Linked DNA regions of Caenorhabditis elegans. The protein of the gene in region 1 interacts with the protein of each later gene in a pairwise test. Each region holds a gene or a part of one and is shown in the gene's direction. Other genes may lie near its edges.

Region 1 (10,445 bases):
AGCAGCAGCAGCAGCTCTTCTTGAAGCAACGCTTCTCTTAACAATAACTTTTTCGGTGTCAGCATATATGGTCTTTGGCTCATCAGATCCTGCCTCTGCCAAAGTCTTCTCCTCGGTATCATTAGACTCAGCCGTTTGTACTCCAGTTTCTTCTTTCTCTGAAGTCTTCTCCTCGATGGCAACAGTTGGGAGCTTTTCTAGTTCAGCATCTCTCTTCTCACGAACGTTGGTTGAGAATCCTTGGACAGTAACCGACAAAGCGGTGAATGCAAGCAATGAATAGAAAATGAACTTCATTATGAGATTGGTTGTTGAAGAAACTATTCTGCTAGCCTTGTAATATATATGTACTAAAGATGGGCGGCAACTTAAACCAGTATCAGGAAATTGTTGTTTTCTTCGATTATGTTGGCATTTTCTGATGCATAAGACTGATATAATCAAATATCCGATTGTATCTGGTCCTGGTCAAAATGTTTTTCCAGTGTTGGAACAGTATGGTAAATTTCAGGCTTACTAGAAGACCATGTTAGGCGGTGATGGAATTCTAGAATGAATATAATTGTCTTTTAAATCTGAAATAACGTTTGATTTGTTTCAGATAGAATCGAATGATTCTAACATTTGGAATAGTGAACTTGACATTTTTCACAGAAATAAACAAATAACCTACTTTTGATATCACCGTGGCGTTGAGCTCATGATACTTAGCATAGCTTGTAAGTATGTTCTTCGAGTTCTTCTTCATATACATATGTACGTCTTCTAATTAATTCCTTGGATATAGGTATGTCGTATGAAGTTTTTTTCACATTTTGAAAGCGTATCATCCATGCAAAAATTGTACATGGATCTGAGCATCATTAAAAAATATACGAGTTATTTATTTTTATTTTTCAAAATTGTGTCATCTACATAGTTTCATTCAAAATTCAAATATCAATTTTTGGATCCCGAAGTATAAATGGCCCTTGACAAGGTAATCTACTTAATTTTTCTCCTGGTCCTTTTGACTACATAACAAAAGTAAACATAGTTAGTTATTTTGTAAACTTGCAAGATAATTCGAGTTCACTAACACTAATAGAGACTGCAAAACAACTGGAGCCTGTTGTCAACTGTGTTTTTGGATACAATACTCAGAGATTCGTCATATGTATTACTAGAGAGTGCACAGTAGTCCGTGACTTTATCCTTTTCAATTTTCATCTATAAATGCATTAACAGGTTTTTGTTACAATAACGGAAATCTTCCGGTTTAATTTTCATTTAAAAATTATAACTCCCAACAAGGACTAATCATTGCATGAAGTTAATGTGGGCTGCGCAGTGCAAAATGTATGTACTGTACTGTACTGTACTAAATGTACTGGAATAGTCAATACTAATGAATATTATCTAATTAGAGAAGGGGTAAGAAAGCCTAGCAAGCAGGCTTTTGTCAGAAATTTATGATTTTCAGTGCGATTTCGACCATAGAATAATACATTTGTTCTAACATAAGATAATTATTTTGCTGAAGGAAATTTTTTGATTCTTTGAGATTCAAAAATTGTAATAATAGTTTTGAATGTTGAATGCATTTGAGATATAAGATGGTTTTATGCTAGACTTTGCAATACGGTCAGATAGATGAACATCTGATACAAGCTTGCTGAAACAACGCCAAGCTGTCTCACATGTTCCGTGTCTTCTATACAAATGCATGTTCTTCGAATTTGAGATCTCCAAACTAGTATCCTCCCGTGAAACAATTTAGTGACGTCTTTATTCCAGCGTTAAAAATCTTTTTACAGCGTTGTATGCAGAAAAGATCTCAAGCCATGTTTTAAGAACACGGCAGTTTCTTATCATTTCCTGTATTTTGTAATCAAAAATTATAAACCAATTATTTGTGAAGTTTTTGTACGGACAATCAATTTGCCTATATAATATATTATAATTCCTGCCTTTATATTGCAGATAATTTCTTCAACTTCTTCGGCAAAGGATTTTACACCGGTGTTTCAGTGGTGTACTTTTTAAATGTCGAAAACCTCTCCAGACTCAGCATGTGCCTATTCTCATTATTCATATGTTTACGCCTCTGTAGATGACTGAAACTAAATTATACTTGACATATGTACATACTTGAAAAATAGATGGTAATATAAGCAAAGTTATGGGCTCATCGGTTAATAGACGTATTACACTTTGATAGTACTACTAATAAGTCTAAGAAGATTCAAAAAAACAAACATTTTTCGTTGAAATTACATTATGCTTTAACTGAAAAATGATTCATTAAAATTTTACCATTTCGAGCAAATATGCTCAAAATGGATATTCACTTTGCTGGAGCTCCTTGTTGCAGAATCAATCAGTGAGCATTGATTTTATTAGGGTTTTATTAGCCAGGTACATTATTGTGGTCGGCAAATGGACTGTCAGAATCCGATCTGTTAACAACAACAGCTAGTTTTCTCTATAAAATGGCTTAATGGTTACCGCCAGGGTAACTAAATGAGATAGAACAAGTGAGCGACGACAACGGAGACTAAACGCTGCAAAACAAGAACTGAATTGTTGATTAACATGCCATAAGTATTATTCAATCTTGCATATGTTTTTCTAGTGTCAGTACAGATAGAACAACAACCAACATAGGAACTTAAAACAGTTAATAAAAAAGTTTAAAATAAATACATACAAATTTCGAAAAAAATTATCAAAAACTAAAAATACATATTTGTTTTCAGGCATTTCATAATTTCAAGACTACATTACTCATTTCAAGCTAAAAGTCAAATAGTTTTTTGAATGGGAAAGGGTTTACAGATCTCAACTTTGACAACTCGTATAATTTCAGAAAGACAATATCTCAAAAAATTTATCAACTACGTTAATGCTTAACGGTAGAGTAGAGTCTATTTTGTTTTGACAGAAAATGACAGGATTCACAAAATAGAGAAATGACAAAAATGAACGACAGAAAATAGGCCCTAATGACCGAACATTACTGTAATTTTTTTTTCAAAATATTCTAAATTTTTTAAAGATTTTTTCAATTTTTCAAAAAATCAAAGAAACGACCGAATTAAATTTGAATTCTCGCGCAAATGGGTGTCATAATTTTTGATGTTTTTGCGTTTCCTGGCTCAATTCGTCCGTTTTTCTTGATTTTTTTTCTATTTTCTGTCATTTAAAACAAAACATTTTGACTGTACACCACCTTTAAAGTGAAATTTAAAAAAAAACATTGCCTGGTTAAAATCCGTGTTTTTATCTTTTTGTGTTGAAGATCAATCAAAAGAAAGCAAGTTTTTGAGGTAAAGGCAAAAAGTTTATCTTACTTATTAAGCTATGCTGGTCGCGCGTAAAGATATGTGTACGAGTTACTAAGACAGTTCGGTCCATTGTTTTCCAACAATAGTAACGGATAAAGAGTCAAGCTTATCGAAACGTCAGTTTGGTTCAATGTTAAATAATATCAGGAATTCATAAAAATCAAAACATTTTATTACAAGCAATTCTTTCGATTCACTTTTTCAGAAAAAATGTAACTTAATCACAACAGCTTAAGTTGATGTTAACCTCGCATATATAAACTATTCTGAACTTCACCACACGTTTTCAAAATAGTGTGGTTTTGGCAGAGTATCAAAAAAATTGAGCTGCGATTAAATCAATTTTATGATGAAACATTTACAAAATATACCCTCGAAACACCGAGCACAATTTCGCATAAAAACTATGCGGCCAAGGAAATCAATTTTCGATGCACCTAATGTAAGGATCTGTTGTCGCCAGACAGGAGTTTTCATCAAAAATGTTTTATGTAATTTTGAAACAAAATATTGTGTTTCTTTTGTCATTCTGTGAAATTTTTACAAATTACTCTGAAGTTTTCATGACAATTCAAGCATTAATCGTTGTTTTGGAACCGATTTTTAATTTGATGGCTGAAATATGATTGCAACAATAGATCTTGAAAATTTATGCTACAAAAGTGAATTTCAAAGACAATGTTCAAAGACGCCAACTTAAAAGTGCTAACGGAGCAATATATTCTCTTCATTCTTTAACGTAATCAAACAGACTCCAGTAGTGATTTCATATCATTGTTCGCCTATAGTTTGTGTGTCTTGTTTGCTTACGCAGGAGTTTCAATACTTTTAATACTTCTAGTTTAACGGAAGGTCTACAAATGTTTCATACCCCCTTCATTTCACGTTTTGTTATTCTTACTTTTCAAATAATTTAAAAAACTATATAAATAATTTATAAACTATAAAGCTGTGAATGTATCTGCTCTGATTTTAATCTCCCCTTTCGCTTTACAAGCTTTGTTAATCGAGATAAAATCCTCATCCCGCATTTGTGGCGTTTCTCCACTGTGTTGAATTACTCGTATTAGCTAAGAAAATGTTTAATAACTTCAAAAAAATTGTAATACTCTGTTTAAGATTAATTATTTTTTGTTTCGGCCTGGGAATCATTTTCAATCAAATTTCTCTGCTTATTAATGTTTTTAAAGAGGCAAATCACTCATTTTCCATTCATTTGTGAGAAAACTGAAATATCATTTCGAAATTATAACTTTTTATATCTTAGATATTCTCATAAAAACAAGGATTGTGTTGTGCCAACATGGAACAGAGTTACTTCGAAAGATGTACCATACTCAGAAGATTTCAAAAAATGGGCCGCAGTGCGGATTGGTGCTTTTGTAAGTTTTATCTTTTATATCCTGGCCAACCTTCAAATAAGCTTGAATTTTTTGTAAAACTCTTTCAGAGGCACATCAAAGATGCTCAAGTCCGTCTTCTATCTTCATTTGTGTATTCTGATCAAATTTCAATAGTTACAACGTCACAAAACATTGATAAGTATGTGAGGAAATAATAACGTTTGCTTTTTTTGACAAAGTATTATCAAAGGCATTAACAACGATGAAAAGAAGAGACAAAGATCTCAGTTTTGGAATTACAAAAATTGAAGGTCGTTGTCGAAGACTTTGAGCGTTATTCTCCTAATATACTTCTTAACGTTTGTTTCAGCTTTTTTCAGCAAAAAGGTGACTTGTCGATACTACGACTGTAATCGTGATGAAGTTCCTTACTCTTCTTTCGACACTGTGGTAGTTCCTATGACAGTAATCACATGTCCCAGAAGATATGGCGCCGAGTTTGTAAGCGTTACTTTTGATGAGAATGAAACCCCTCATGAGCCGATCCCATTGACCTTTAGAATTTACGATGGTAAGATACGTATATACGTCTTAGGGTTTTCAATTTTTTATTATTTTTTGAAAGTTTATAACTGAAAATCTAAATTTTATAGAGGAAAAGAATGAAGTAACTTCGAATATAAAGTTTGAACGGTTTTTTATGAACTTTTAGAACAAATTGAAAAAAAGCTAATGAATATCTCGGAAGTTTCCGAAACATTATATAATTTTAAACTATTTATAATTTTATTTTTTTCAACCAAAAGTTCTGCCAAAAAATTTTAGCTATGTCCGCTGGTGTTTTCCATTTCCCTTTTTCGGATTACTCAAAAAGTCATCAAACCGTCCATCTCAAATAGTAGACAAATAATATAATAAACGATTCATTATATGAAACCGGATGTTTGGTTTGCGGGTGCTCTTTTCAATTTTTATTTTGCGGCACAAATTTTGAGTATCGGGACCAATGTTCAGTTATTCAGTATATCATGAACAATTTTTCGTTAAGAGCCAATTCATGAGCTGTCTGTTTGTGTTGGCCCATTGTACGGAAAAAAGAGCAAATGGTTGGAAATTGTAGAATATGTGGAGCATTATAAACTTGTGGTAGGTTGCTCATATTTGAAATAGAAGCAATAGTTCTGATTAAGGGTGTTTCATATTTCTACTTCACTCTGTTCAGTATAAACGAATATGATCGAACAGTCGTGGACTACTATGCAAAGTTCGGATATGCCGAGTACACAACTTATATTACAGAATATCAAGAATTAGGATGGATGTTTCACTTGATACAAACACAGGTTAAATTTTATATGTTTTAATTGTGTAAGAAACCTTTTCAACGCTGGCAATAATTCAAATTTACAAGGGAAATAATTGAGTTACGAGAATGAGACGCCGAGCGCATTCCGGTTTGTGACATTTCAATGAACAAAAAATTCAATCTATGTACAAGGGATGGGCGACGAATCGGTTTTTTCGGCAAACGGCAAATTTTCAGCAAATTTGGTCGCAACTGTTAACATACATTTCTCTGCAAAGTTTACATTTGTTCCGACCATTTTTGACTTGTCAAAGAACTGAATGTTCGGAGAAAAAAAATTTGTTAGGAAACCAAAAAATGTTTGTCTGTAAACGAAAACAAAAAACCCGCCATTTAAGTCTACTTAAGTGTCTACCGCATACCTGTCTTTCATTAGATCAAGCTAAGCTTATTTTATACCTGCCAACGTGTCAAATAATGTGCATGCCAGCTTATGACCAATCTTCTTCCAAATGAAAAAAGTAACTCCTGTTATCTCGTTGGGTGTTTCTTAAATTCATGACTTATCTATGTTATAACTAGTTATAGGATTGCCACCATCGAAGCCGACATCATTCAAAATGGGTGATTAACGTTGATATTGACGAACGAATAATTTACACAGGCTCCAACGATATACTTTATTTTTTGAGGCAAGACTTTTCAAATCTGAGCAAAGCGTTATAATCAATTCAGGTCAATGCCAGCGTCAATTGGAGAACTCAGCATTACGGCAAATCGTATTCTAACAACCGGAACAATTCCGGAAAAACTGAAAAATTTTGCAAATTTACAGTCAGAATTGACGTTTCTCAAGTATAACAAGACCACAGAAGTCAGCTGGTACAATTTCAAAGGAATTATACGCCCGGATTTAGTATATGTTTTGTTTTATCACTGGTCTTTTCGACAAAAGCCGAATGTTCATGTTATTTCGATACCTAAACAAATTATTCATTTAAGGTACAACATTATCTTTATTTAAATTTTGGAATTGTTTCTGTTCCTTAGGCTTGGTCCCAAAAACTCACTTGAAACGAAAATTAGCTATATGACTTTTCAGGCATTATCGAAGTGTTGATCAAAATTCGTTAAATGGAAATTGGATGGAATTCTACAATGGATCCTTGAAAGAAACTAGGCTGGCTCCAGATTTCGAACAACAATTAATCAAAAACGTGAAAGAAAAAGTGAAATATGTTTACGATCAACGATGGGTTTAATGTGAAGAAACATCGGAAACAATTACCAAACTGTCTAATTAGCAAGCATGTTTTAGATTGAAAATGAATTTTTTGAAGGCATTATTTTAGATGGCTGTCTATAATAGTTGGACGGGTGGTTTTGGGGCATTTTGGCCAGATTTTTGTTCTTTTTTTTTTGAAAATTTCAGGAAAAGGGTTTTGACGTTCAGAAAATTACGTCGTTAGTAGTTTTTCGGAAAAAGGTATAGAAATGGAGTGAAAAATAAAAATTAGGTTAACAATAAAAGTTGGGCGTACTGTAGTTATGCACTTTTTAAAATACAAATAATGTACTAATTTTTACAAAAAAGCCGAAAAACTGGCAAACATCAGGGTTTTTCCTAAATTAAGCTTACATTATCAATGAATATTACTGGTTCTATAAGCCAGTGCACGTAGGTCCTCATCCCACTCGCAGAAAAGTAATCAACCACTAAATAAACTTTCGGTTTTATATCCAAAGCAGTTGACTTCTAAATTCTTATTCCTGATAGTCATGTCCATACGGATAATAATTTTCACAGTTATTGCTTTTCTATACCACACAGAATCATGTATCCGGATGATACCACCGGATTATGTTGGCTTTCCTGCCACGCTATCAGATAATACAGATCCTGTAATAACTACAATTTCGAAAACAACAACAACAGCTCCGTAAGTCAAGTTATTCTTTGAGCTATTCAGACACATGAAAAAAAAACAAAACGCGTTCAGTCGGCGACTGAAAATTCCACAGACTAACAGTTGAACAAATTTTATTCAATCTTTGTCCTCGGTTATGATTTGACACTCGCCCTTCTGTCGATTTGCCATTCGATTTGCAAAAAAATCGAAAGGTTTCATCCACCGTGACAAAAAAATAGAAGTTTCGTTTTTAGGAAATATGGAAAAAAATAAATTGTGTTTTTCCTACATTTTCTTAACTCTCGAAGATACAACAATTTACACTTAAGAAATGACAAACTCGTAGAAAAAATACACTTACAAAACCCTTTTTTTTTCAAAATTTCAGAGCATCTAAAGTGTTGAACCATTTGGGACTTGCACCTTTGACGGAGAGGCCTAGCCTGTACTGGAGCGTGGTTATGAGGCTCTGTTGTTTGAGGTGAATAAAAAATAGTTTATTAGCGTGTCTAGAGCCAAAAACCGCCAGTTATTTTGCTTACTGTTAGTCATAATTACATATTATTTTAGTAATAGTCTGTTTCTTTCTCATGAATAACATCCACATATCAAATTAAATTAAATGTCTAGTGGTTTTCCTGTCTTTACTTCCTGCTCATTTTGATTTTTTTTTCGGATACTCGGAACAATTCTGAAAATGTCACAATGCGACAAGGAATCCCAAGAATATTATCCTACCTTCCAGAATTCAACAGCTATTAGTTTGTGCCAATTCCAAGAAAATTTTCTGTAGGTTTATTTTTTTAGCCGACAGAGGACAAAACATGGGGAAAAATGAAAAAAAATTATTGACAAAAAAAACCGTAAAACTTTGTGATCCCTCTCAATCAAAAGAAAGAAAAAATTTCGTACCGTCATTTCAGGGTTTTTTTGCTTAAATTTTTATGATAGTACAATCTAAAAATTTCAAATGAGACATATCTCGTTGCAAAATCCGGAGGTAAACTGACTTCCTTTCCTTGTGAGAAAATTTCCAAGACGAACCTTCTAATGGTTGAGTATAAGGGTCTAGTTCTTAATTTTTAGCCACCATCATTCAATAGTAGTTTGCGAAGTTTTTATTAATTTCTTGAACTTGAACATTTCCACCAATCCCCATACTGCAACCTGTAAAGTTTAATGGCAGTGAAGATAATCTCGTTTTGGAGGGATGGTTTTATTTCGATGGTTTTATTTTATAATTGGTCAGTAAGTGCAAGCACTTGTCGCTGCAGTTCTTCGATTTAGCGCCACCCCGAATAACAAACGGTTTTGCACTTTTTCTAAAATCTTGTTTGTTGCAAAATACAGAGAATAGAAACAAAAAGCGAGGTCACTAAATGTGTGATTCAAACAATCATATACCGTAATCCGTTCCATCAAAAGTGATCAAACTTCGCTATTGTGAACCTTTCGTTCATGTACAGAAAACAGTAAAGTGTTCCCAACAATATAATGGATGCACTGAAACACTCAATTTCATAAAAACTTTTAAAATATCTTAAAAACGAACGTGAATTTACTCGGCAATTTGGTTTTCCTATTTTTCGCACTTCTTCACCTTTCTTTCGCACTTCCACTGCTATATTTCGCCGATATAATCTAGGCAAAAATAGTGCGAAAGATAGGTGAAAAAAGGCGGAGAGAAAGGAGAACCAAACTGCCGAGTTAATGCTCAGTGTGAGCTCGGAGTGAGAGGTGAATCATCTCGAAATGATATTAAAGTTATATGTATGTTCTAGGACTAACGGTTTTATGAACGGAAAATAATATTCTCTGCTGGATTAAAGTCAGTAACACAATTATTTATGTTTTTGTTCAAACTTAAGGGAAAATTGAAGAAATTTTTTTCAATGACCATAATTAACATGGTTTAAAACACGAAAAAACTATAAAACTATCTTGGTCCTTTTTTAAAGACGGGGTCCCAGAGTTTTCTATTTTATTTTTTGCAGCTATATTATATAAGCTATGTAATAAAGCTATATAAGCTATATAAAATTATTTGTGATAACAGTTTTATTGATCCATGAGCCTTTTTTAACAGTTTTGTTAAGAAATCATTTTTTGTCATTCTGGGAAACATTCGTCAATTTATCTCAAGGTTGCAGATTTTATGGCACCATGCATTTTTATGCACATTTCTATAATTAATTGTAACTCTGTAGATATCATGAATAAAATAAGTATATTTTTGACATTTGCAGGTCATACGTCCTACATTCAAGTATCGACAGAAGTTCTATGAAGTATCTGAAGCTTCAACTTTTCTAAAATATATTATGTGCTTCGGAGTAATTTTAAAAATGCATTTATTTATCGTGTGCTTTCGTTGTGTGTGGAATTAACTACAAAAATTTTTAGAAATCGTGAGATTTTGAAAAATAACAAAGAAATGGAAAATTGATTCCTGAAAAGGCGGACGTATTTATACAAACGTTTTTTTTTGTGACAAACTGTTAAAAATATGAAATTCTTGCTCATTTTAAGGAACTTAAAAACGCATGTTTGAATGTGAACG
Region 2 (12,038 bases), on another chromosome or scaffold:
ACAATCCTTTACCAGATAAACGAAAACGCACATTCTTCTGATTTTATGTTACCGTATCAGAAAAGAAAGATGTAGTTTCTATCTTCTCATCACGTGCTGGGATGCAAAAATGTGACAGGTTGATACATTAATACCGAAATAGTCAATAATGACCACGCTACAACGTGTTTTACAACGAAAGTATTTCTTTAAGAATTTTGTTCAGTTTTTAACAACTCATAATTTTGCTTCTAAAACAAACCTTTCTGATAATCTGACGTTGTCTTGTAAATTGGCTAGTTGTCTGAAAGCGCAACATTTCCTGAAAAGTTTAAATTGTTTATTAGAACCGTTTGATCATATAATTATTAGAGCACATTAAAAATATAAACACAGTTCTTTGTCCGTTTGAAAAAAAAATTTTGTTTGAATTGACTTATCAGATTTTTCACATTTTTAAAAAACTGATTTTATGAAGCCTAAATTTTGCAAACCTGTTTTTGTCAGAACAGTTCATTTTTGTTTTATGAAGGTTTTTATGAAAGCTCATCCTTAATTATTCGTATGATGAATATTTAAATTGTATTTTCAATTGACGTGATTGATTTTACTCGATTTCATTTGACAAACATTTAAAGAAAAACTTTATTTCGTACCACGAATGTCATAAAATTTGGTTCCTACAAATAGTTATCAACATCACTGCGAAAAACGTGAGCCGTGTTGCTGTATCAATACTTTTAACCACTGGCAAGAAAGAGACCTGGTCACCTGAAACATATTGAACTGTAGTCTTTGCTACTTCTTATCAGAAATGTTGCGTTTTAAAACCCACTGCATTGACATAAAATGCCGGTCGGTGTGAAATTCGAAGGAGTTATTCGAACCAAGTTAAACCCCTGAAATAATGATGTTTCGTCATCATTTCTTACTTCAAGTCTCACTTTGGTTTTCACTCTTCGCTGCCATTAAAGTAATTTTTTTAAATTTTTTATTAATATTTATTGTATTTTTCCAATTATCAATGTTGTGTTACATTATTTTTGCAAGCAAAAACTAAGAAATCCGAATCACCCAATCTAATTTTGTATTTCTTTTGCTAAGTTGCATTTTAATTAGAAATAAATTTATCATAACTCACCACAAAAGCCCCTTGCACAATGTCACATGGCTCTGACTGATTCCCGACTCCAGCTGTGATTGTTTTATTCTCCAATCTAGACCACCAATTCCACTTCGAAGAGCAATTTTCTCTATTCAAACCTAACAGCATACTATGCTCTTGCTGTAATATGTGACTTATTTAAATTCACCGTTAACTTGAGACACTCACCGTGCGAATTCCGTATTGTATGTAAGAACCCAAAAGATCGACATTCGATAATACTGCCATTTGACAGGAAGATGCTAGAGAACAAGTATCTATTTATCGACGTAGATAATCTTTTGTACAAAGTCAGTTCAAGGACAAGAATCAATGAACACGGAGTTTTTTTCAAACAATTTTCATGCAATAAAACCATTCCCTGATTTATATACATTTACTTCTGGGATTAATTTCTTGAACCAAATAGAAAAATTTGACATATAAGCTAGACTCAGAAATCAAACGTCAAGCTGAAAAATCTAAAAGTTCAAGAGCTCAACGTTTCTAATCTCATTTTTCACAATTACAAATTTTTAGTTACTTCCCCCTAATCCAATTTTCAAGTTTCAACACTCACGATGCAGCTTGCTAAACAAAAGTTCGCATCTTTCTGGGATTGTGTAGTTCCCCGAAGTATCCTGAACTCCCGCGTACATAGAGCACAACTGGTCAGCATAAAAGGTATTGACTCCGTCAGTTTCTCCAAATTGTTTGCACACCTTAATCAGTGGCTTTTTGATTTTTTTTTTAAAGATTTGACCAGATTTTTTTTTATTTTCTGAGTGTTTTTAGGGAATTTTTGAATAGGTAATTAGTTTTACTTTTAAACATTTTATGATTCAGTCAGTTTCTCTTATTATTAGCTATTCTTCGGATCTTATAAAATCTATTATTGAAATTTCAAGCTCTATAAAATCAGCAATATTTGATAACACAATTCCCAATACCTGGCACAACGTATTATTTCCCGTACAATTGAAGCAGCTGCTAATTTGAAAGAATATTGATAAAATATGCAACACTAAGAAACTCGGCATCTTCATTGCAGATCTGAATGCTAAAATGCGGCTCAGGTCGAACTTCGATGAAAATATATAATTTAGTTTCAGCGTTACTCGGGCAACCAAATATTTTCCTCGCTATTCTAGGGAAACTCGATTATTCCTCCACGCATCATGCTCCAAAAGGTTGTTTCCTGTCCCCCACGTGTTTCTAGTAAATCTACAGAACGTGTGTAGTTTGTTGCAATTGAAGCAGGGAATTGAACGTGATGATCTTTTTGGTATGATAGTGATATTACGATTGGGTACCTTAAAAAAAAAGAAGAAAGGCAACATATGACGTTTTTTTTGAGATTCCGATGAAAATTGAGGAAGTTGATCATAAAAAGTATTTCTCGGATACTCCAATTGTAATGTAAAACTTGAAGATCTGTGAGGAAACCACTTTTATTATATCATACCCATATTTTATAAAAAATTTAAGATTGCAGTAACGCATACAACAGAACTTACTTTCTTAATTTAGTATCTTGTTGGTGTCTCCTACTTTGCGCTCATTGAAATTATGGCTACCAATCAGCGGTAAGAAAAAATTAATGACAGCGTTTTATATGTGCGACAAATACAATAAAAGTTAGACAAAAAAATCGTTTCTGGTCTTTGACAAATAAATTATCCTTATTGTTGTACGTGTCAATAGCGAAATTATTTCAATACACTCAAAAAATTGATAGCTTTACGAGTTTTAATCTTGATAAATATAACCGAGTACCTTGTGTTTCAAATTTGTGCGAGTTGGGGTATGTCGTTTTCCGACATGGTTGTTTATTCTTCAAAAATAATAATCTTGAACACGCTGAACATTTTGTAGTACGCTTACTAGTTTCACAAATTTACATTTCAGTTTTTTAAAAATATTAACTTTCAATATATTATACATGAAATTGAATTAGTTGAGGTTTCCGGTTTTTCTGTAACAGTTCGCGCCTTTTTCTTATTTCATCTTCTTATTTCATTCTCTTTCCACTTCCAAATTTCAATCCAAGAGGCACACTGGTGGTTTCCAATAGGTTTTGTTTACAAGTCAAGAAATTGCGTAGCGATAAAAAAGTGATGCGAATAAAGTGGAAAAGGAGGGCGAGAGGGAGCGGGAGAAGCGGGTGGGAGCGTGCAACGCAACATTGTAGGTAGGCTGGTGTTTGTATTATAATGTGAGATGATAGTTTCGCTTTTTGGTTTTTCTTTGTTGTTTCAGAGACGGAGAGGTTGTATCAGTTTTTGGTCATTCGTTGCGAGAAATGGGAAAACACGTGTGTGTGTGTGTGTATGTTTGTAGGCGGAGGATAAGTATGGGAAAATAGTATTCTCTACTGATGATCTTTGGTGTAAATTTAGTGTTTTTTTTTTGAGGAAAAACGATAATTTAAATAGATTTTGCATTTTATTAGAATATCCACTGATTTTCTGTGAATTTTGGAAAAACAAAAGAAAATACCAATACATGTAGCGAATCAACTGAAACACACGTTTAGTGCCAATTGATATAATATTTAAGTCGATTAAAACATGTCTTTTGAATTGCAATTCGAATTTTGTTGCTTGAATAATTGTTATAATTGTTAGTTTTGATGAATTCAAAATTTTCATATCCATCATTAAAACAGTTCTTGTAAATTTTTGTAAAACATTTTCCAATTTAGTAAATTGTCATATGTATCTAGGTATTAATATTAGAACATACATATAAAGTAACGAGGCATGTTGGTTTTCAGTAGTTTTAAGTTTTTTGGAACAAAATGTTGTGAGAGTTTATGGCCCCAACAAAGTTAAAACTTTCTGAGACACCGTATAACAATTTTCCTGTGCCCTTTCTTACACTATTGTTAGGGTGATTGGGAGCAAATTCCCATGCATTGTTCAACGTTTAACGGTTTAAATGATTTTTGCTAAAGGTATACAAACGTTAATTGAACTTGTATCAGGTTTTAGCAGGAATATATCATTTCCTGAACAAATTTTGTATCAACCTTTGCTTAAGCTTTTCTGGGAAATGCCGCCAGTTTGAAGCATTCTAAGTTACTGAGATTCCTCATTTCTTGTATTCAATAGACAATTTAAAGTTTTATTAGCATGCTGTAGGTAGGTAGTAAGTCGGCAAAAACCTTTAGATTACCATCATTTTTTACTTTAGGGCACTCAAATTTGGCGATATAATCGAGACCGCAAAGAATCAAAGATCGCGACATGATTTCTCGCATTGAGGTCACACATATTCCTAGAGTACCAGATTTGTCCTATTCATCTTACCACGAATGGACCTCATTTCTCCTCACGTTTTATCGTTCGCGTACTTCTTCCTTTTCTTGCCCTTCGTTGTCTCGTCCCCAACATTCATTCTCTGCCTCTCTTTAGTCCGGTTTGCTTGTCCTGTCAATAGCACGTGCAGTCTATTTTCTCTCTTTTCTACTCTGCCACTGCACCGTTTCACGTCTGTCACTCTCCGGCTCTTGTGTGGTCCATCATTTGTACACGAAAGAAGGGGCACCTTTTCGCCGACCACCAACTGTTGTGAAAAGGAGACCAGATGAATTCATGTGCCCCGAGGGGAATTATGTTTACGTAATTTTAAATTAAGTCTAATTACTATGGATTATGACCTGGATGAGCTCATAATATCAATACCGATTTTTATTGCAACCTTTTCTTTAGAACGAATGTTCTTCTTCATTGAAAGTTGTGAAATTTTATCCACATAAAAATTTCAAAAAATGTAATTTTCCAGAGAAGGCATTTGATGTATGCAACGAAGCTCAATCCTTCACACATTGAAATATTGAGCCATACAGGTATTCAAAGTTTTGATTTTTTTTTCGTTTTCTAATTGGCTAATAAGAAACAATATATAATTTTATACTTGTTCCGATTAACGCTCAAACTTAAAACTGAAAGAAGCTTCCATAAAAAACAATAGCCTTTAACTGAAATAATCAATTAAAAAAACTCAAAATAAAAATTTTATGTCCGAATGACTAAGCATAAAACTTTTTAGAACAATGCGTGGTGTGTGGCGACGCGGCGGACGGGTTTCATTACGGTGTTCGATCGTGTCGAGGTTGCAACGCGTTCTTTCGACGAGCGGTCACTTTCAACATGAGTTTCACATGCCGAAGAGGGGGTCGATGTCCTGTTGATAAAAGTGAGTATTTTTTCAAATCTTCTAAATTTCAAAAATTGAAAAAAAAAACGAATTCCGAATAGTTGTGATAACAGGCCTGTCATGAATAAGGTCAAGATTGTTGTTACGTGCAAAACTCTCTTCTACACATAAACACAAAATGTTTTATCAGATCGCTGACTGTTTCAGTTAGTTTCAATTGACTTTTTTTCCATTCCTTGAAGTACGAATAAAAACTGCAGAAAATTCACTACACTTTTTTTAAAAATAAAGATTTTAGAGATTATTTCAACTAATTAAAAAAAAAAGGCAGTAATAAAATTAATTCATCCAAAATTTGAAATGACTTTCGATATTCTGAAATAGCAGGAACATTTGTGTTAGATGTGAACCAAACTAGTAAAACTAGGAAAAACCCCGCGAGTCATTTCAAAAATTGGATAAGTTGCGTTTTTTAGGTAAATTTATGAGGTAACATTTTTGAAAAATTAACATAAATGTATTTTGATTGTTTAAAATTTCACCTAAAGTTTTTGGTGATTTGGCAATTATTTTGATAACTTTTGACTTTCGAAAAATGCTTAATTTTAAAAACCTGGAGTGTTTAAACACATGGTTAAGAATGATAACTCGACCATAAAACGTTTTCGGCAAAATAAAAACTTAAAATCGGTAAAACCTAAATGATTTTTCATTTTTAATGTTAATAAAACAATTCAAACTATTCTTCTAACAGTTACTTTGTGGTATTTAAAATTTTTGCAATAAGAAGGTTATTTTAAGCATTTGCCCTAATGGTATCACTTTAACTTAGAATTACAAAGATGAAAACTCAATGTTTCTTAAAATTTTTGCATTGAACTAGTTTTCGGTATTCTAGGTAAAACAATGTTGCCAACAAAAATAAACGTGTTGCTTCAAAACCCAATATAGCAACACCCGAAGTGAAAGACACTCTCGCATCACTCGTGTTTTGTTGCCATGGAAATGAGCTATAGCTTCAATCTTATGATAGTTTCAATCAAAGCAATATGATTGGAAGTTTATTTAAACTCACTTTTTTTATTGGAAAAATTACGAATGGCTTGTTTTTAAACATTAATGTTTTCCAGATGCTCGTTGTGCTTGCCGAGCTTGCAGATTAGCCAAGTGTTACGCGGTTGGGATGGATAAAAAAGCAGTTCAACCAAAACGAGAAGTGCATACCTCCAATGGATCGTTCGATCAAAATGACCCCGATTATGATCTTCGATTAGGCGGAACACGGGTATGATCTTCCTTTTGCAATTATTTTAAAAAACAGAAAGTGTTTTAGACGTCTCCAAGCTATGAGCTCAGCAGTGATATGACCTCTCCTGGCTCCGCGTTCACACCATTGAATATAAATTTAGCAGTGAGTTGTTTTTTGTTATGGTTTATATATGATAAGAGACCGAAGTTTATTCTTTTACCTAATTGAAGTTATCCTTGATATATAAATTAATTTCTTGATTTCTTCAAATTTAACATCTATTATAAACGTTTCTTTAGGATTTCACACCAGCAATTCCTCCGTCACCACCTAGCGATAGCTCCCTGATAGTCAGACAAGTATACGATTTTATGGAACAAAAGCGGCGAAGGCGAGCAATGCTTTGTGGAAGTCTAGAAGAAATATTATCCGAGCAGGAAATGACGTTACGTCACCCTGCCACGTCAGAAGACTTCACGACAATATTTCAAGCCCAAATGGTTTTAATGTTCGAATGGGTTGAAAAGTTACCCGAGTTTCGGATGCTTTGTGATCACAATGATAAGGTATACACACATGTTTCTCTAATTATGTACAATTTAAATTCCAGACAAAACTTCTACGAGCATTTGCGCTCAAATACATGCTGTTAGACAATGTTTATCACACTTATGAACTTGGCTTTCGAGATCGGGTTAGTTGAAACTGAAGATGTACATAACTGAGTAAAAATGTTTTTATTTTTAGTTAGTATTGGTCAACAACAATTATATTGTTCCCGGTGTACCGATTAATTTTAAAGGAAGTGATGTTGTGGATGAAAATCAAATGAGAGATATGTAAGTTTTTTTTTAACTTGTGAAAATCGTTTGGGAATTTAACTTTCATATTTGATAGATGAAATTTTCAAATGAACTTTTCATTCAATCAAACTTCATCTAGTCCAGCTATGTTAATGCTCTCATTGCAATTGCAACAGTTGCAACAAAGTATCAGATATTTTTTCAGCCTGTTTGCACGCATTTTTTTTCAAAATATAGTTTTTGATAAATACATTTTCTAAGCAACTTGGTTTAATGAGCTACAAAACTTGCATAATTCTTATTTGAATTGGCTAGATGTCTTTTTCGTCTCAAAATTGTTTTTTCAAATTGATGAATATATGAAATGGTTTAGCCAATTCCAATCCCATTTAATTCATATTATACATAGTTCCTCAGCTTACAGTTGCCAAATTTAACATTCAGGTCTTGTTAATAAAAGTTCTCATTTTACAGCCAACATTAATTACAATACTTTTTTTACAGAATGTTCGGCGAACCCATGCGTGCTCTAATCAATGAGCTGGTACTGCCGATTGGCAGTCAGAACATGTTATATGGAGAGATTATGACGATACGAAGAATTATGTTTTGGAATCCTGGAAACGTACAGCTATCTGAAATGGCAAAAGCGTTATCTGCCGAAGCATGCAACGTCGCTATGAAAGAATTGCAACAGTATTTAATATCTGAAGGAGTTGATGATATTGAAGCTCGGATCAAGTTTATACTTCTGTTGCTTCCATCGTTTACAGTGAGCTTTTTAGAGATAAATAGGAAAAGTTGCCAGCATAAGTCTAAAAAAAAAATCTACACGGTCAGCTATCTTTCAAGTTAAAAAAACCATAGTTGTAATTACCGTATTTCCTCTATCAGTCTTGCAGCCTCTATTAGTCTGGCACCCCTATTAGTCTTGCACCACTGCGGGCCAATCGTATTGTCTGACCAGCAATAATTCGTAGAAACTTCAACAAATTCGTCATTTTTTGGTTACATTAAACATGAAGGTGTTCAAATAATTGATAAAATCATTGAAAAGTAAATATTTTGTACTACTTAGACGGTTTCAAGACAAGTTTTGACGAGAATTGGTCAACTTTCCAATGTTATAAGGCAATTGAAAATTAGTCTTGCAGCCTCTAATAGTATTGCAGTTTCTATTAGTCTTGCACCCCTGCGGTTCGATTGAAAATTAGTCTTGCATGCAAGACTAATAGAGGAAATACGGTAATTAAATATTTCCATGTTCCCAGTCGATTCAATAACGCCTTGAAAAATTAACCAATGCTAAATTACACTAAATTAAAAAAAGAAATCATATATCAAATCAAACAATTTTACTACATTACCCACATAAAGCCCAAGATGAGCACATAAAGTTTTGCTCCGACCCCTCTAGGGACATTGTCTTTATTCAATGATGACTAAATATATGCAACTGAAATGTGTTTTTTTTTTTAGTTTCTTCATGGAATTTTTTATTTTGCAGACTCATCACAAGACAATGTACGAAATTGTGCGGTTAATTCCTTCTTTCGGGAAAATGAGTGATTGGAATCAATTTATGGACGATGTTCTCAGCGGAGTCTGATTCATCTTGTTTCTTTAAATTTAAATTTTCCTGTTTGGAGTCCCCGCCAGACCGAGCTCTAAACCCCCGTCCTATTATTCAAAATTCATAAAAATTGTTGTGACTTTTTACACCATCGAATCAAATTCTTGTCAATTCTTGCTGATATTTTTCTATTCTTTCAACCACCTGAAATCAAACAAGTCAATTTATTCCATTTCTTTCAAATACATGCCATAGTCATGGTCCTTTGTTGTACATTACTGTTAAAAAAAATCAAATACGGAAATAAAAATATTGATCAGATGTCACAGTTGTACTGTTGTTCTGAAACTTTTTTATTGAGCAAGTTCTGGTAAATGTTAGCTATTAAAAACTTGAGTGCACTGATTAATTAGGATGTGAGTTTTTGGGTCTCAAAAAAAAACATTTTGTTGTTGCTTTGCATACAATGCCGGTTAAAGTGTTTTAACTCAAAATTTTCAACACTTTAAATTACTAAAATAAGTACCATTTGAAAACAAATGAGTTTATTAGAAACTTGTAGCCATAAATCCATTGATTAAATTTTTTTCATTAAACGTTTAACGCAACTTTACCAAGCTTAGTACAAATAAAAAAGCGCCAATTGAGATTTAATTTAATTAAACTTTCAGTAATAAAAAAGGTCAAACATATCATTATAGAACGGTTTAAATAAACTTGATTTTTTGAAATTAAAAATTTATTTTTGGTAATATGCGAAGTTCATGAAAAATATGGAGAAAACCTAAAATTGGTACTTGTGTATTACATGCCCTCATTTTCAAATTAAATTAAATTGTCATTAATTTCTCCAATTAAAATAAACGTGATATACATTATTCCTCTTTAGGCTTAGAAAATGTTATTTCCTAAGCCTAAAAATACAAATTGTGGTTCACGTTTTCATTTTTCATGGCTTAAAAAATTACTATTAAAATGAGGGCATGTAATACACAAGTACCCTAAAATTTAACCCCATTTTCGAAAAAGATTTGGTTATTTGAGCACAAGTGAAGTGGTTTCAAAATACTTCTCTAACTTACTCTTTCTTAAAAAAAAGACATTTTACGATTTTTTTTTGTGACTTTTGGAATTTAGTTACAGTCAATAAAATAATTAGTTTTGATTTACTTAATTAAATGAACTTAATGAATATAAACAATTAGAGCAAATACGGGACATCTTTTTGTAATATAGCGATAAGTTGTTGAGAATATATATATGTGCATTTATATGATTTGAAAGTTTTTCGAAAACTAATAAAGTTTTGGTAGCTCAATTCATACTAACTAATCATTAAAACATTCAATTAGATACATTGCAAAAATTATGGGCATACATATAAAGAAGTAAATCAAAATTTTCACTTTTAAGATAAGAAACTCAGAATACAACCATTGATAACGATTAAGTTGAAAAAATAAGGTTGTAATCATATTTTTGTCTCATTAAATTTTTTTTCTCAGTTCTAGGTCACTTTAAAACTTGCACCGTTTTTTAAAGATTTTTTTTCAGTTTCCAATTTTCATCTGATTCTTCATAAATCTCTACCTCTTTTAATTTTTATTTAAACCTCAGTGAAGTGAAGTACTGTTCAATTATAGTTTTATTCGATAAACCAAGTTTCTCACTACAAAAAACTTTTTTAAGAGCCGGGTGTCTGGTGAACTGCCAATCATCATCAAATCTATCTTTTGACTTATCGTTTTTTTGATTGCCCTTTTTGCCCATTTTATGGTGCACGAAATCGTTTCTTCAAGTGATAAAAAAGATAATTTTATCTGATAAACCATCATTCTGGTCAATTTACCTCCGATAATACCCACCGAGACAGCTTGTTCCGCAACCGATTTCTGGTGAATAGGGACATTGTACCTTGACTGGGGTAAGTGAAAATAGATCTTTTTCACACTTATTTTTTTAGGTGAGATATCAAAGATATTGATAAGCACGCAAATTTTACATTATTGCTTGAGATAACTAATTTAAAAAATAAGAAAACCGTAAGTTATGGTGATGAAAGTTACACTTTTGATCAAAACTACTATTGTCACTTCTTTAAAAACTTTTTTTTGTTATAAGTTACACATTTTGTTTTCAAAGCTTTTCCAAACATTTGTTTTTGAATTTTGTAGTTTCAGTGACTTCATATCTTGATAATATTATTGCACAAGGTTTAGTCTAAACCCAATATATCTTTCTGAATCCTGATATTTTTTTGAATGTTTACACGGCTTATCGTTGAAAAAAAAAATTCGCTCGGGGCTGAAAACGATGCTGCAGATCCATTGTTTCCTACAGGCTGTAAAACGATGCGTCATTTTTCAAATCTATTTTATGACACATAAAATGTATTTCTAGAAATCTCCAACCGGAAACTGAAAACTTTAATATCGCAAAAACAGGTGCACTTATAAGAATAAGAAACGGTTCCGATAAACGGATCACTTTTTTTTTCTGAACAAAAAATGAATCACACTTTTTCCGTTTCATTCTGGCTAACAATGCTAGGCTAATACTTGTAGAATGTTTAATCTAGACTAATGGAGAAAATTAGTAGCTACTAGTAGCGAAAAAAACTTCAGAATTCGAATCCACGAGGATTATTTAAATAATTGTAAAACAAAATTTCTTATTAAAAAAGGTCATATTATGAAAATCGGATTATTAACATGGTGATCGTTTTTTCCGACTTTAGAACTAAAGCTTTTTTTTAATTCTTAATTAACTATCCTTTTTGAGAAAAACATACGCAAGTCAACGTTCTCAATTTGTTAAACAATGTAAGTGTTTACCAAGTTGCCAAAAGAGTTGTATACAATGGTTTTCAATCTTAAAAATACTTATACTTTTAAACTAAATTTCAATTTCTTCTTTGATTGAAAAATTTCTAAGTTTCCATTTTGATATCATAAAGTGATCAGTATTTTTTTTTTGTATTACGGGAATCACTTTGCCAGCCCCCCCCCCCCCCCCCATCCTTCAATGCCCTTCAACAGCTGACCTTTATGGAATAACGCAATAGTAACATAAATGTTGGCTAGCTGTTGCCTTAGGTGTTTCTAATTACATGTAATGAAAACGCCAATT

What was found.
Region 2: the proteins of gtnt-3 (region 1) and nhr-32 interact in a two-hybrid assay, tested with the Caenorhabditis elegans proteins (one large-scale study listed by BioGRID).

Annotation. Positions count from the first base shown.
Region 1 is NC_003283.11:7,249,117-7,259,561, reverse strand, and holds gtnt-3 (Glycosyltransferase family 92 protein), read left to right. Parts: upstream 1-4,366; 5' UTR 4,367-4,404; coding exon 4,405-4,544; intron 4,545-4,593; coding exon 4,594-4,708; intron 4,709-4,776; coding exon 4,777-4,868; intron 4,869-5,049; coding exon 5,050-5,240; intron 5,241-5,717; coding exon 5,718-5,815; intron 5,816-5,859; coding exon 5,860-6,012; intron 6,013-6,563; coding exon 6,564-6,667; intron 6,668-6,710; coding exon 6,711-6,977; intron 6,978-7,077; coding exon 7,078-7,237; 3' UTR 7,238-7,318; downstream 7,319-10,445. Other genes in the region: C13A2.12 (Trichohyalin), read right to left, coding at 1-297.
Region 2 is NC_003284.9:13,247,055-13,259,092, forward strand, and holds nhr-32 (Nuclear Hormone Receptor family), read left to right. Parts: upstream 1-4,909; 5' UTR 4,910-4,921; coding exon 4,922-4,973; intron 4,974-5,176; coding exon 5,177-5,323; intron 5,324-6,414; coding exon 6,415-6,569; intron 6,570-6,617; coding exon 6,618-6,695; intron 6,696-6,832; coding exon 6,833-7,099; intron 7,100-7,143; coding exon 7,144-7,227; intron 7,228-7,280; coding exon 7,281-7,372; intron 7,373-7,840; coding exon 7,841-8,108; intron 8,109-8,843; coding exon 8,844-8,945; 3' UTR 8,946-9,230; downstream 9,231-12,038. Other genes in the region: K08H2.7 (uncharacterized protein), read right to left, coding at 644-750, 815-878, 1,121-1,264, 1,313-1,372.